2 linked regions of the Rhinolophus ferrumequinum genome follow. The protein of the gene in region 1 purifies or fractionates together with the protein of each later gene. This does not show direct contact. Links are inferred from orthologs where the notes say so. Each region holds a gene or a part of one and is shown on either strand. Other genes may lie near its edges.

Region 1 (8,371 bases):
ACAAGAATTTTAAAGTGAATATCCATTTCCCCTTTGCTTCAATTCACTAATTATTAACATTTCGCCATTATTAACATTTGCTTTCTTTCTGTTTCTTTATTCTGAATCATTTGAGATAGTTGCAGACATCACTCACCCTTTAGATATTTCAACATACTGTCTCTACATGTGAAGGATCATTTTAAGTTAAAAAAAAAAAAAAGAATTGAACTTAGAATCTATTGAAGTAGCACTACATGGATATTTGATGATATTAAGGAATTGTTATTAATTTTGTTTTATGTGTGGTAATGTTATGGGAATAAAAGAGAGTCCTTTTTTAGGTCTTTTTTAGGTACATACTGAAATATTTACTGATGGAATGCTATGGTGTCCTAGATGTGCTTTAGAATAATCCAGTAGGGGTGGGCAGTAGGGAATGGGACGTGGGGTAATAAATGAAAAAAAACTGGCCACCAGTTCTGTTCCTTACTTTTGTATGTTTTTTAATAACTTCCATAATCAGGAGTAAAAAAGGAATCATGGTAGTGATTCAAAAAATACAACATTTTCATATTGAAATTACAGATTACAAAAGGTAGTGCTAATTTTCCATTTAAGAATGCCAAAAAGGACACTGGGGACGGAACTGATATCCAAGGTCTCGTGGGTCAGGCACTATGCACACTTGGCATTTTGTGTGTGCTGTCGTTTGATATGCTGGTTGCCCTCTACGTTTGCAACTAGCAAATTAAATGGTTCCCACCCTCATTAATCCCTATATTTCTTTATGACAAGAATTAATGAAACGTGTAATCCGATTTTGTTATATTTTGCCATTGCAACTGATACATTTAATATTCATTTATAAATACATTTGTTGACAGCTTGAAACAAAATTCAAAAGTGACTTAAATGGGGGCATCTTGGCTGAAAGAGAAGAACCCCTCCGGTGCCTCGTAAAGTTCTCTAGCCCGCATCTTCTGGAAGCACTGAAATCCTTAGCACCAGCCGGTAAGTAGTCAGTTTATTTTACAAACTAGAAGAATTAACCGCGTGCTATATTCAGTGCTCTCTTTGCTAACTAATTACCTCTGAGCTTTCTCACAGCCAGCCTGCCGTCCCATCATGCCCTGTTTTGCATATTCTGCTTCTGCACTTAGTGGAGTCCATGATCCACACTCTAATCTTGCCCATTTTTAAAGTGACTCAAATCTTTGCCCCTGTGATTATTTTCATTTTTTTTTTTTAATTTCAGGTATTGCAGATGCACCGCTTTCTCCATTGCTCACTTGCATACCCAGCAAAGGAATGAATTATTTTAAAATTAAAGATAAATAAGATGTATGTGGTTTTGCAAGCATCACCTCTCCTTGACTATGTTGCATACTTATTTCAGTTAATGGCTTACTGGATAGCTTCTGTCTAAAAACTTGTATTTTAGAAATTAACCCTTGATATTGACAATTTAAAAATGTTCAATATAATCGTTGGGAATGATTCTTTCCTCTTACACTGTGTGCTCCCCCTTCCCCATATCCTGCAAAGCACAGCAGCTGTGGATCTTTAGGATGTGACAGGATGTCCTTTTTTCCTCACTCCTGTCTCTCCTTGATCCTGGAGAGTTCTGGTTCCAATTGTTCGTTTTCAGAGATTTTCTCGTAAGCCTTGGATCATAGAAAGAAGCACCAAAAAACTATACCCAACTCAAAACTTTCTAGGAGAATCATAAAATCAATCCATTCATAGGGTAGAGTTGGGTCCATTGAGTTATAGCAGAAGGTAGCATATCAGATCATTCAGTTATATAAAATAATGGTTTTGTTGTGAATATGATACTTTTCATAATCTATTTTATCATATATATGGCATTCAAACTGATCAATATTATACTGATTTATGAATAAAGGTATTTAGAAAATGGTACATCAGTGACTTTTTTTTTTTTTAAGATTTTATTGGGGAAGGGGAACAGGACTTTATTGGGGAACAGTGTGTACTTCCAGGACTTTTTTCCAAGTCAAGTTGTTGTCCTTTCAATCTTAGTTGTGGAGGGTGCCGTTCAGCTTCAAGTTGTTGTCCTTTCCGGCAACCTTGTGGTTGAGAGGACGCACTCCAACCAACTGAGCCATCCGGGAGCTCAGCGGCAGCTCAGCTCAAGGTGCCGTGTTCAAACTTAGTTGCAGGGGGCGGAGCCCACCATCCCTTGCGGGACTTCGAGGAGTTGAACCGGCAACCTTGTGGTTGAGAGCCCACTGGCCCATGTGGGAATCGAACCGGCAGCCTTCGGAGTTAGGATCAGGGAGCTCCAACCGCCTGAGCCACCGGACCCACCACATCAGTGACCTTTGATGAAAATCAAAAAGAGCCTTAATGTACAAATCAATTTTACATTACAAATTTAAAACAATTTTTAAAAAAGGGTTAAAGTATGCTTTATAATGTAATGGTACTTTCTACAAACTGTACGTATCTTATGTGGAAAATATGGTTTTAGATTTAATTAGCAATAGCAAAGACACTTGAGTTATCTCAGAGTGAGGCTCTGAGTCTGCAGGACTTAATGATGCTAATATCCTTGTATGTCATAGTCATGGTTTAGAGCATCTGTCCCTACGTGCGCACACGTGGCAGGCACTTCTGCTCGGTGCCTGAATGCCTGCGTTAGGTCTGAACAGAGACCCTGCAAGTGCCTAGGTTGGTTCTCACAGGCTTATAGTCTTCCCTTGTGCTGGGTGGGGATGTGCAACTGGAGCCGGAACAAGAAGATGCTAATGGTATCATTACCCAGCCTCAAGTATTAGTGGAATCACTTGAGGCTGCACCCTGAGGCTCTGCCAGACAGAGGCTCCTGCTTAAGGAAATGGTAGTACAGTGGAGCTCTTATCTATTATGTGCTTGATAGTCCAGAGACACATACTGTATTCAAATGGAGTCTTGTGAACAGATGGAGTCGTAAATGTAGATCTAAGGACCTCTACGGCCAAAGGAATATACTGCCTCCTGTAAAATTAGGTAAAGGAATTGCTTCAGAATAATCCAGTGGGATTTTGTAATTTTTTTCTAATTAGGAATCTAATTTTACATTAGGTAGGGTCTTCAAAACTATTCAGCTAACATTTACTGAGCACTTACTATGTGGCAGGCACTGTGCTAAGTATTTTAATGTGCATTATCTTATTTTCATAACAATTCTATAAGGCAGGCAGCATTACTAGTTTTATGCTACTTAAGTGAATACCAAAGCTTAGGCTAGTAAGTGGGTGGACCCACATTAACTGCAGGCAGTCAGACTCCAGAGTCTGCACTCTTAGACAGCATGCGGAAAGGAAGAATAGCCATGGATGCTTTCCCACACATAGATGTGGGGCGGGGAGTTTGGTCCACAGTACTTTATAAATCAGAATTAGTTCCTGATGGGCAGAATACACCCCTGCTCAAAGATGTCCACATCCTAATCCCTGTAAATATGTTACCTTACAAGCAAAGGGACTCTGCAGATGGGGAGAGTTCCTCAATGGATCCAGTGTAATCAGAAAGTGGAAGCAGAAGAGAACAGGGAGATGTGACTACTGAAGAAATCACAGTGATGTGACAAGGACTCAACTCACCATTCCTGACTGAGAAGCTGGAAAAGGGAAGTAAACAGATTTTTCCATAAAGCCTCCAGAAGAAGTGGAGCCCTACCAACACCTTGATCTTAACATAGTAGAGTCATTTCAGACTTCTGACCTCCAGAACTGTAAGATAATGAAGAAAGAGTGAAGATGGGGAATATATAAAATGGAGTCATTTTAACCAGGCTGCTAAAATTATTAACATGAAGGTGGAGGCATGAGGAAAGATTCCATTCTAGTTCTAACTAATCTGGGAATGTAAAATTTTATGAACTTTCCAGTCCTGTGTCAATGCCTAGATTTAAATCTGGACCTCCAGATGACACTGATTATCCCCTAAAGGACTCACATATACACCCACCTGACATCCACTGTCCAGACCATGGGACATGACCAGACCTCCTGGGGCCCATACTTTGGACCACCTGGCATCCAGACTGCCTGACATCTGACTGATAACTGTCCTGGACCAATCCTAGGACTAAGAATGCAGGACTGATAATTCTCAAGACTGTCCTTTCTATAATAAAAACTTTTCTTTCTTTGGAACACTTCTGAGTTTTTGCCTAGCTCTGTTCCCACTGTGCAAAACTCCAAGACCCTTGAATAATTCTTTCATTTATTTCTAGCCAAAGCCTTCAGACTCTTTTTGAGTTGGTTATATAATAACAAATCTGTTGTTTTAAGCTACTAGTTTCTAGTAATTTGTTATTGCAGCAATAGAAACCTCATACAGCTACTAATATATAAAAGTTGGAAGTTTTCACATAAAAATCTTGAAAAATAGTTCTAGTGATACCAAAGATGAGTAGCAGCTGTCCCCTTTCAACAAAGGATGTATTTCCCATTTCGCTGTAGCCCTCACCCCTCCCTTTTGTCTATATCTGGCCTACTATGTTCATTTACATGACCTTCCTAGTCCCTCTAGGAACTTAGGTTTTAGAATCCTGCCCTGAGCTACACTGTCTCCCAAATAGTAATCGAATGTCATCAGTTAAAATACAGGCAAGTAAATCCAGCCCCCTTAAAATGAACTGTCAATTATAACAATCCTTTCATTTGTACAACGTGACGTACTTGGTTACTTCTCGGCAAAGATGGGGAAAACTTATAGTACATACCCGCTATGGCTGTTTTGAGGACAAAATGAGATACTAAAGGAAAAGTGCATTCCCCAGTGTCTGACACGTGGTAAACCCTAAATAAACGATAGCCAAATGCCATTGAACATTTGGTCTATCTCTAATCTTTGGGAAGTAAAGTTCCTGAACGCATTACTTTTTCAATCCAATTATTGCGCCAGGTCAAGTTTCTAGGAAGGCAAAGAATGGATCAGCGGAACCAGTACCTTCTCCTTGTTCATATGAATCCCTGTGAAGTTTTGCAACCTGCCCGCCTCACCTGGCGACGGCTCCCCGCAGACGCGTCCACTGCCGGCAGGGGGCGCCGCGGCTGTCGAGGCTCGGCCGGATGCTAATGAGCCCGCGGCCCCGCCCCGTGCCGGAAGTTGCAGCGGCGTGAGGCGGGCCCTGCGAGCTGGGCCCGGCTGCTGTGCGGGAGCCATGGCGGCCTTTGAGGCGGCGGCGGCGGGTCCCGCGGCTCTGGCCTCGGATGCCCCGGCCGTCCCAGCGGCCGCGAGGGGAGCCGCCGCCGCCTCGGACCTTTGGGGACCCCCAGGACGGCTGAGGGGCAGCCGGCCGCGGCACTCGGCGGCAAGGCAGCAGCCCGCGGGTCCGGCGCCGCCGGCCCGGGAGCTGATCCAGCCGTCGGTGAGCGAGCTGTCCCGGGCTGTGCGGACCAACATTTTGTGCACTGTGCGTGGCTGCGGCAAGATCCTGCCCAACAGCCCCGCGCTCAACATGCACCTGGTCAAGAGCCACCGCCTGCAGGTGAGCCCGCCGCCGGACGGCTCCTCCCCAGGCCTGGCGCTGACAAAGAGCCTTGGTCGCGGGCGAGGGAGCAGGTCCGGCTTTCAGGGCGGCGCGGCCCGAGGTCGGGAATACGCTGTGTGAGTCCAGCCTCCGTCGGCCAGCATCGCAGGGGGCTTCCAAGTACATAAAACGGGCCAAACCGAATGGTTAGTCCCAGCCGGGGAAAGTGGGAGCTAGGAAGCGGGAACGCGTAATAATAGGAAAACACTGTGTCATGCCACTCGGCTGTCAGGCTGGGACACCCCAGGACTACCCGCCTTACGTCACGACCCGGGCGTTTTATACATTTATCTGGTTAGTTCTCACAGCGACTTCGTGAGGTACGTATCGTATGGTCCTCACTCTGTTGATGAGAAACAGATTACGCAACCTGAGTCGTGCTGGGATTTAAACCTGGTCTCTGGTTCTAAAGCCCTGTTCTTTCCACCACGCCCACAATAGCTCCTTCAGGCGTTGAGGTCCTGCCGCGTTGTTAAAAGGTAGCTGCAGATCTGGCTGGGCGCTGTCAGCGTCTGTGTGGATACAAGTTTCAGTGTCGATAAAATCAGCTTTGCTCAGGAATGAGACCTAAAGGCAAACTGCCCCCCTTGGATCATCTTTAAGCGCGAACACGGTACAATATGAACGTAGTAGTCTGAGCATCCCTTCCATCTTGTGTAAAACAGAGAGGTGATTTTCAACCTTTAGTGCACGCCTGTGGACATCTTATTAAAATTCCAGATGTTCAGCTCTGCCCAGACCTATTAAATCATAATTTCTCAGTCATAACAATAGAAAGTTCCCTTTCACCACTGAGAGCCTTTCTTTGCCAACAGTGACATAATTTGAAACCCTAAGTCACTGAAAGAAGTTTTGTGAATGTGTAGCCTTTTGATGGTCTGAATTGATTCAGGAGAAAGTTTAAATTACTTCATGTAGTGCACGTTCTGTCTGTGCGCAGGTAAATCCTCCTTGGAAGCTTCCTTAGAATCAAGCTTCTGATTAGAATTTAACAGCAGAAAGGTTGAGGTTATAGTCTCTAGTAGGGGAAATGTGTGCCAGGAAGGGTAAACTATTTTAGCACCAACTGAGCAGAGATGCAACAACATTCTCGTAGGAAGATTCGGGACCCCAAACAGGAAATGTACATGGAGGTATACTGAGGAAGACCCAGCAGGTGGGGCGGCAGTTTTCCTCAGAATTGCTTTGGGTGTCTTCTAGGACACAAGTGCAGTAACTCAGGACATGGTCTTCAGTCTCCTATTTTCTCTCTCATACTAAATTGTAACTAAATCCTTCCTTAACCATATTTTAATTCGAGTGGATGAGTTTATATTTGTAGGAACTCTACAGCCAAATCCCTTGGTTCTCTTTAGCTCATGTACAACAGCCATCACCCACCTTCAGTGTCATCCCCTCCCTGATGGACAGACAACTAAGGCAGACACTGCAGCTCTGAGCACAAATGAAGCTGCCAGTCTGACCAGGACCCACCTGGCGGTGGCCTGAGCATCACTCTAGCAGCACTTTTCAACGGTTATATTGTTCGTTTCTCTGGAATTGCTGCTGGGAGCTCTGCATCTCTCAAGACTCTTTGAAGCTCTGTTAAGCATAAAGATAGCACTTACTCTTCCGGATTAGCTTGGTAGTAGGTATGCAATAGGTTTATTTCTAAGTATGTTTGCAAAATATGTAAAGTTCAGGAATTCTGAAGATACCAATACATATAATAAGTCTAAAAAGGAGGAATATGTTTGAGGCAAGTACCAACTTTGGCAGTCAAATCTTTACTTGGACTTGCGCACTTCAGAGTATAAGTATCCTCCCGTTGCTTATCTGTGGGAAGTCATTCTTCCAGTTCTAGTCAGATTCGTTTTTCAGAAATCACTTGTCTGAAGACAGCATAGTATACTTAAGATCCCTTCTGAACTGAAATGTTGAACAACGAAAAGATGGACTCGTCTGAGTGACCTAGGGAGACCTGTTTCAGCAAGAGTTTTAAAAACTCCACCAGAACCATCATTGTGTTTTTCTTGTCACACCGGCTCATCTTCCTGCCTTTCTCTGCCTTTCTAGCCATGGTGCTCAGCAGCCCTTGAGCATCTGCTCTCTTGGTGGAAAGGGGGTTCATTTTTCTTTAACAAAAGTAGCCTATGTGACAAAATAGTCATATTCGAATAGTGGTGCCCCAGTGTGGCAAATCTATACCCTCAGTCTGGATCCTGAATAGAAGGCTCTTGAATTCAAACATTACCTCTCGACACTTGATATTCTCTAAGTATGAGAAGGAGGAGGCCTGGGGACAAGGGCTGACTGCAGACTCCCTGTGATTTTGAAAGCAGTCTGTGTTTGGACCAGAGATTCCACTACCAGTCAAGCGTGCACCTACTTTCTGCTCTGAAGCTAGTCTGAGTATATCTGCTTAGCACATTTGTATAATATTCAATGGACGTTTTCCCTTTCATTCTCTTGGTTACAGCTACTTGCATAATTCTAGTTTCTTTCCTAGTTTTTATTTTTTCTAGATTATGATCATTTTTTATTCCCTTTCCCATTAGTTGCTGTGTGGTTCTTACTCTATTCTAATCTTTCTTCACAGGATACCTTGCCCCCAACCGAATATTCCCTTCCTAACGTAAATGATTAATAAATCCTTCTGAAGGATGAGGGATAAGACTGGGACTGGATGGTAGAGGGTACATGCTGCCTTTTGATTTTATGTGTGTTCTTAGCATACATGTCTGTATTCCATATCCTGTAAGGAAATCAGAACATACTCTGGTTCGGCCTTGCCTATGGGGGGGATCCGTGGAGAAATGAAAGCTGGTGATTCAGAGAAAGGAAGGGTAGGAGTAAATGGGCATT
Region 2 (7,856 bases), on another chromosome or scaffold:
TCAAAATGTCACAAAAGAAAGTATGGAATGGTTTCAATTCAACACAATGAATATTGCCAGAGGACCAGCCACTCAGCACCAGGGAACTTGTAATCACTCCAGGAAACCACAACCAACATCCTAGGCTCTCTGAATTCCTCTTCTCTGTCCTAGCCATCCCCACCTATACATCAACTGCGTTCATTATTTGGTATCTCAGAGCCAAAAATTAAAGACTTAAACATACAAAAATGTGTAAAAACTACCATAGAATTACCAAGTGAAAACACAAAGAAAAAAATCAGATACAACCTTTTCTTTAATGCTATGTGTATTTTAGATATTTGAGACATCACAAGATTACACTGAACAAGATATTTGATTTTTAACAGGATGTGGCTATTTAAGGAAAGAAAACATATTTGAAGAAAATACTGATGTTTTGAGTCCCCTAAGTTTTCTTTAACCGAGCAATTTATTTGCAGTACCACACTGCCTGTCCAATCTTACTTCTTTTTGTATAAAGAATAGTCTACCTATTTATACCTTTTTTCACGCAAAATTATTTCATTTGTGACTATCATAGGCACATTTCTCATAAAAATCAAGCTATAGGAGCACACGCTTTTTTATTACCAAAACTTACAAAATCTTGGTAGTTTTCATCTGAGGATGAAAATACTCTGGGCTTCTTATTCTAGTTAGTTAAAAGATTCCAGAAAATCAGTATCTTTTGGGAACAGATTTTTCTCAAGCAATGCACCAGTGGGTTGTTCCTATTATACTTTGCAACTAGGTATGCAATGACGCTTTACTTTTGAAGGGGAGACAGAACAGCTCCACCACAAGTCAAACTACTGCCCTTCAAACTACTGCACTTCAAAACTCGATACAGGACTGTCTCAAATGTTGCCTTCACAAATCTCAACAGACCAGTTTTACTGCTACTAGATGTAACTACAGGTCCCTAAAATTTTACTGACAGCACTTTTGTATTTTTTCAAAATATCTGTTCCCCCCTACCCCATGCACACGTTTTATGATCTGAATCAAATACACTTGTCTTTTATTTCATAAAATGAAAAGATGATCTAAATATTCTTAATGTTGTATACTGACACTATAGGAATAAAAAAACAAAGCTGAATGTTTATATTAAGAATGAAAAAAGAAAACATAGCTTTAAAAAAGATACATTATTTATAAATTTCTCAGATTAGCTAAAGCATAAGGAATATTCAAAATTGAATCAAAATACCCAACACCACTGCAGAATAGGTTTTGGCATGCAGTCATTGAATGAACTTGTCAGGATTCTTGGTATATATAAAGTAGGACTAATACAGAAAATATGCCCTATTTCTCTGCTCCCTGGTGCAATTTTCTAAGTTACAAAATAAGTTACAATACAGGCACTACCAACTTGGTTCTGTGAATGACACCAGAACTATCACCACCTCTAGCCTGATTCTAAAATTTACCCCCCAAAAAATCTTATGTTAAAAATCTTTAAAAAGATCTCTAGCACTAATGAAATAAAATCAGAGTAAGGATCCCTAATAAAATGTTAAAATAGATGACTTAAAATGTCTTTCAATATTTAAAGGAACATGTGGTAAGTCCAAGTGGTTAATATTTTCAGACAGTATTCCAAAAGTTTCACAAACATGTTAAATACAATATGGCTACAGCAAACATCAGAGAAATCCGAACCCAGGGCCAGAAACTAAATCGCCAGCTTTCAAATTAAAAAGCTGTCGGCCCCACCTGAGGCAGTTGGATACTTTGAGACCAAGGCCAATATCATAGCAGCAAGTTAGGCCTCTTCCTCCCTCTGGGAAGCGCATGACAAACAGGGCGTCATGCAACTTGTCACCCGGTCACTTAGCAAAAATTATATCTAACTTCAAAACTTGGGTCCAGGTGGCTTCTAATAATACTCAAAGGAAAGACAGCAGCGAAAGCATCGGGTAGAAGGAGTATTAAAATGCCCCACTTTCTGACCCTGAGAACATTTAGCCCATCATTAGATCCGAGTCCTAGATTCTAAGAGTTGCTTTAATGGAGGCCTCCCTCAACCTCCTCGGAGTCTGTTTTGCAACAGTGAAGGAACTTTTCCTGCTTTATCTCAGTTCCCTGAAAGCATGCGGCCCTGCAATTCAATATCCTAAACTGGCAGGGAACCGTGGAAGAGGAAGGGGAGGAATCCACGGCCAAAACAGCCGTCTTATGAAAGACAAAAAAAAAAAAAAAAGAAAGAAAGAAAGAAAAAAGAAAAATCATTCCTCCTCCGCCCATTGTAAACCCATCCCAGAAATTTACAGCATGTTAAGAAAAGCAGCATTGCGAACTGCAGACGTAAGTTTTCCTTTGACTCTACGCACGGTTTTCAGCTGTCAAATTACAACTCACGAAAACACTATCATTAGAATAAAAAAGGAAACAAACAAACAAAAAAGCTCGCACCAGAGGGACCGGGAGCTGGAGCTGCCAGCAGCGTTTAGGGAGAAGGAGAGCAAAGGGAATCCAACCCACTTCCCCACCCCCGCCTGAATTCATCCCCTCCCCGGGCAGGCAAACCTCACTGCAGGGGCTCATATTTAATAATAATAACAATAATCATGGCGCTTCCTCCCCCACCCCCCACCGCGATCTGCCGGGAATCAGCTTCTCCTCCCTGCTTCCCCCCCCCCCCCCCGCCCCGGATCTTCAAGCTTGGCAGGTCCAAACCACCCCACCGGACACAACTCCCAGGGGCCCCGGCGAGCGCAGCCTACCCCGGGGCCCCTCGCCCCGTTTCTCCTCTTCCCTCTCTTTTTACCTCCACCATCCCCCATCCGCATTGTCTGTCTCAATTCAACTTTGGCTAATATGGATTCCTCTGGCCTGGCCCGGGCGGTAATTACAGCCCGCCCCCCCGGGAGCGATCTCCCCCCCCCATCTCCGCCCAGTTCAACGCGGCTCCTACGGGGCAAGGGGGGTGCAGCGCGCTTTCCCATCTACACCGTGCTCCCCCCACGTCCCCGGGCCCCCGCGCCCAGAAGTTTGCCCCGGAAAGGGCCTAGTCTGGGGCAGTGAGGACCTCCCCACCGTCGGCAGGCGCGTAAACACTGGCGCCCGCCCCGGCGCGGCCCCGTGGGGGAGGGAAGGGGAGGGCGGGGAGGCGCCCCTCCCCCCGCCCGCCGGCCCTATTACCTGTCATTGAGCTGGTCCTCGGTGCCCGGCAGCGGGTGAACCACGAAATGGATGGACGTCATGGTGCTTCCTTCTCGTCCTCCTCCCGAGGACGGCCCCCTCCCGCTCTCGCCCGCCCCCCCAACCCACTTCCCCTCCCCAAAACCCACTGCCGCCGCCGCCTCCCAGTCCCCAAATGGAGGGAAGCAAATGCGCAGGGGCCGCCGCTGCCCCCCTGCCGGGCGTGTGTCCACCGCCCGGCAGTCTGCGGGGCGAGGAGGACGGATCAACACGCCACCCGCTCTCCTGGCGACAGCGCACAGGTCTGCGAGGCCGGCGGCCGGGACCTGGGGCGCGCCGCCGCCAGCGGCAGCGGGGCGTTGGGAGAGGGGCGACTGGGGAGGGAGGAGTGGGGCGGACTAAGGGGACGGTGTGGTCCCGGCGGCAGACGGGGTCCGGACTAGGGAGGTGGGGAGGGAGATGAGCCCGCACCGCGCGTCACTGGCGAGAAGCCGCCGCCGCCACCAGCACCGTCGCCGCCATCTTCACTTCTGCCCCAGTTTCTCCGTCTCGCAGGCTGCGCTCCCGAGCGGCGGGGGAGGGGCGAACGGAGGGAGGAGAAGGGAGGAGACCGGCGGGTGGGGGCACGGCTGCGAGGGGGCGGGGCTCCGGGAAACGGGCTGTAAGGCCCTTTGGATTGGGCCGCTCAACGTTGTCTGGCCACGGTGCTGTAAGGCGCGTGCGTATTGGTCCGTTCGGCCCCCGAGGGACAGCTCCCAGTGAGTGTTCCGGAGAGCACGTGTTAGGGAAGGAGGAGGCGGAGGGGCGCGTCCGCCCGCGCTGGTAGGGAGTCCGCCAGTAGCTTGAAAGTGTGTCCCGGGGGAGGTGGGAAGGAAGAGGGGCTCCTGCGTTGTCTCGGTTTGATTTCCCTGGGGCAGCCCTAATTATTTTGCGTACCCTGGGGTTTTTTTTTGTTTCTGGTCCTTCCTCCGCAGTTGTATTTAAAGTGGAAGTGTGAAATCAGTTAAGGGGCAAGAAATGAACACCCTTTTATTGGAGAAGGTAGTTATGTAAGAACCTCTCCACAAGGTCCTAATCTTAGAGCTGACTTTGCAGCAACTTCTTTTATCACCCTGTTCTCCCCAATTTCCCCAACACCACCATCGTCACGTAGCCAGACAAAGACAAAATGTGGAAATTTCCACAAATTTCCTGATTTAAATTATTCATTTTTTTTTTACGACTTTTAAATGAAAGATGATCTATCTACTCTGCAAAGGCGTTCTTCAACTTAAGATCAGTGGGATTAAAACGGCAAATTCTTGAATGGATCTAGCTGCTTTTTACTGTGGAGCCAGTTCATAGCTTTCTTCCCAAAGGCTTCTGTGTCGCCTTCAAAAAGCAGGTACCTCTTTCAAGGCAAAGAGTGAAAACATGAAGCCTCTTCTCCAGGCTGTGTGAATGTTCATTAAATCAGAGGTCCTGTGAACCGTTCTTAATGTTAAATAACACTTTTCTTCTGTTAATACATTACAATATACACACTTTTGCTTAGGAGCTTCTTTTGAACAAAATATGTGAAAATTTATAAATCAGGATAGAGTAGGTACCCTTTGAGATAGATAATGGAACACTTTTGTAGGTCACTTGTTCCAAAATCGGCCCAGATGAGTTTGGACTAAAAAGTGATTCAGCTCTACTACTTATTAGAAGTCTATGTGAGGCCATGGGAAAGCAGGGTAAACCAATGAACACTGCTAGTTTTAGACCCAGACAGACTTGGATTTGTGTCCTGTTTCTGCTACTATGTGACATTGATTAAACTGTTTAACCTATCATAGTGTCTTTTTCTAATTTGTATTCTAAATAATAGATCTACCTAAGGTTGTGGAGAACTCTAAGATAATGAATGTCAAGCTCCTAGGGCTCTTCATAACACTTAGGCTCTGCAAATGGAAGCTTTTATTTTTCAGGCTCTCATTATATACCACTTTATACATTTGTCTTTTAATACTCAAATCACACTATGGGGTAAATAATATTATCTTCATTATATAGATGCAGACACTGAGGCTCAAACATTTCAGGTAAGTGCTGAAGCTGAGACTTAAACCCAGGTCATCTAACTTTGATTGTGTTGCTCTTTCCACTATACCACAGCTGCCATCTAGTTAATAATTTAGAAGGAACAGACTATTCAAAGCCAATGGGAAAAATGTGATATGATAAATGCAATAAGAGTGCTATGGAAGTTAAAGGAGGAAGTGATTCCAGCCAAGAAAATTAAGAAAAGTCATTTAAGCTGAGCTTTCAAGAATATTCTGGGCAAATAGAATATACAACTTAAACCTAGTCATTTTACATTTGCCCCAGAAAAAACTCCACACCATACCCATATTTTGCTTCATGAGTCTTTCTTCCAAATCTGTCTTCATCTTTTCATCAGGCTTCCAACTTGATTTACCCACTCCCAGTTTCCTGGAACTGAGACTCTCTCTCCTAGTTGAAGGCCCCTCTCCGCACTCCTAGCAGCCCATTCAAACTGCCCACTTGATCTTTGACTGACAGCCATCTTGACATAGTGACCTTTTTGTTGTCCCAGGCTGGAATGTTAGGGAGAATTTTCCTCTCCCAGGGCCCCAACACTTTGGTGGGTCACGGTTTGAACAGGGGAAAACAAGAATAAAGGCATGGAGTTGTGCAAGCCCATTGCATGGATGGGGGAGGGGGAGATACAAATAGGGAATGGAGATAAGCAAGGTTCAAGAAGAAGCTCTTTGAAGACAAAGTGCAACACAAGCCTAGAAGGGGGGAGGGGCTTTTTTCTAATAATTTGGACTAATTCTCACTTGGAGGACAACTAGAAAAGTTAGCCAAAATATTTCTTTAAATCTGCTTAAAGGCACAGAGAGTTAACAAAATAATGATGAATTACCAAACTGGGATCCAAGGGATGAATAAGACCCAAGAAAGTGAGTCTTGTGTTTGGAGCCACTTTGTCCTCTGGGATGAATGCCAATTCCAGAAACACAGAGTGAGAAGCCAAGAGACTGAACAATTCTGACAAGCACTCAGGGTTAAAACAACAGGAATTGATGTCCAAGGTATCCCAATGCTGTGGTGAGTGCTAATGAACCCCTCTTACTTTGTGCTGAGCCCTGAAGGACCATACCCCTGAAATAGGCCATGTCTTAGATTTGATTTCCCCCAAAACAGAACTTAATACAAGGATTTGACTATAAATAGTTTATTTGGGAAGTGATTACAGGAAGCACTATATAGGAATGGAGAAATGAGACAGAGAATGGATGAAACCCAATAAAAGATGAACTGATGAATGTTCTACCACTGTGGGCAACTAGAATTCAATCCCACTGGGGACCATCTGAGGGAATGTGTGGGACACACCTCAGAATTACCCTACTGAGTGGAGGGCAAGCTGGAGTTATTTATCCATCAGCAGCATCCCTCAGTAGTTCAGGATTGCTCTTGGGTTAACTCCTTGACACTTCAAGTTTTCCCTACTATGGGCAAAGCACAGTGCTAAATAATAGGCTCAAGAATGAAAGAAAAACAAAGACATTTGGCAGGGGTCAGGGAGAAAAAGAGAGAGAAGAAAAAGAAAAGGGAAGAAAAATGTGAGAAATTTTTAGGACTCAACCCATACTAAAGGGTATTCTTCAAGCAAAAGGAAAATGATTCCCCACTGTAAGCCCAGAGAGGCATAAAGGAATGAAGAGGTGTGAAAGGGGAAAATATGTAGGTATATGAATGTTAACTGAATAAAACAACGGGGCTTAAAAAGCCACAACACTGACCCCACCAAATGCTGCCCAACATGCAGAGCACCAAAAACTCATTCATTGCTGGTGGAAACACAAAATGGTCCAGTCTCTTTAGAAGACATTTTGGTGGTTTCTTATGAAAGTAAACATACTCTTAACATATGATCCAGCAATCACAGTCTTTGGTATTTATCCAATGGATTTGAAAATTTGTGTACATACAAGAACCACACAGAAGTTTATAGCGGTTTTATTCATAATTGCTACAACTTGGAAGCAACCAAGATGTCCTTTAGTCAGTGAATGCATAAATAAACTGATTCATCCAGACGATGGAATATTATTCAGCACTAAGAAAAGTTGAGCAATCAAGCATGAAAAGATATGGAGGAACTTTAAAGGCATATTACTAAATGAGAGAAGCCAATCTGAAACATTATATAGTCTGTTTTCAACTATATGACATTCTGGAAAAGTCAAAACTATGGAGACAGTAAAAACTTCAGTGTTCGTCAGCGGTTAATGAAGAGAGAGGGATGACTAGGCAGAGCACAGAAGATTTTAAGGGCAGTAAAACTACTCTGTATGATATGATAATGGTGAATACATGTTGCTATACATTTGTCCAAACACATAGAATGTACAACACCAAGAGTGAAACCTAATGTAAACTATGGACTCTGGATGATAATGATGTTTCAATGAAGGTCCATCAGTTGTAGCAAGTGGACCACTCTGGTAGGGATGTTGATAATGGGCAAGGATATGAATGTGTGGGGCAGGAGTAGGTAGAAAATTTTTGTACCTTCTTCTCAATTTTTCTGTGAACCTAAAACTGCTCTAAAATATAAAGTTTATTTAAAAGAAAACATGTTAGCAAAATAAATTCAAAAGGATAGTAGATTCCTTTTGACATAC

Evidence for each region.
Region 2: the proteins of ATMIN (region 1) and UBR5 purify together in Homo sapiens (affinity purification with western blotting; 3 studies listed by BioGRID). This does not show direct contact. The link is inferred for Rhinolophus ferrumequinum from reciprocal best matches to the Homo sapiens genes ATMIN and UBR5.

The regions. Positions count from the first base shown.
Region 1 is NC_046298.1:27,187,661-27,196,031, forward strand, and holds the start of ATMIN (ATM interactor), read left to right. Parts: upstream 1-5,131; 5' UTR 5,132-5,158; coding exon 5,159-5,485; intron 5,486-8,371. Other genes in the region: CENPN (centromere protein N), read left to right, coding at 867-993, 1,238-1,320. UniProt on the Homo sapiens protein: Transcription factor. Plays a crucial role in cell survival and RAD51 foci formation in response to methylating DNA damage. Involved in regulating the activity of ATM in the absence of DNA damage. May play a role in stabilizing ATM.
Region 2 is NC_046297.1:43,905,373-43,913,228, forward strand, and holds the start of UBR5 (E3 ubiquitin-protein ligase UBR5), read right to left. Parts: upstream 3,298-7,856; 5' UTR 3,237-3,297; coding exon 3,175-3,236; intron 1-3,174. UniProt on the Homo sapiens protein: E3 ubiquitin-protein ligase involved in different protein quality control pathways in the cytoplasm and nucleus. Mainly acts as a ubiquitin chain elongator that extends pre-ubiquitinated substrates.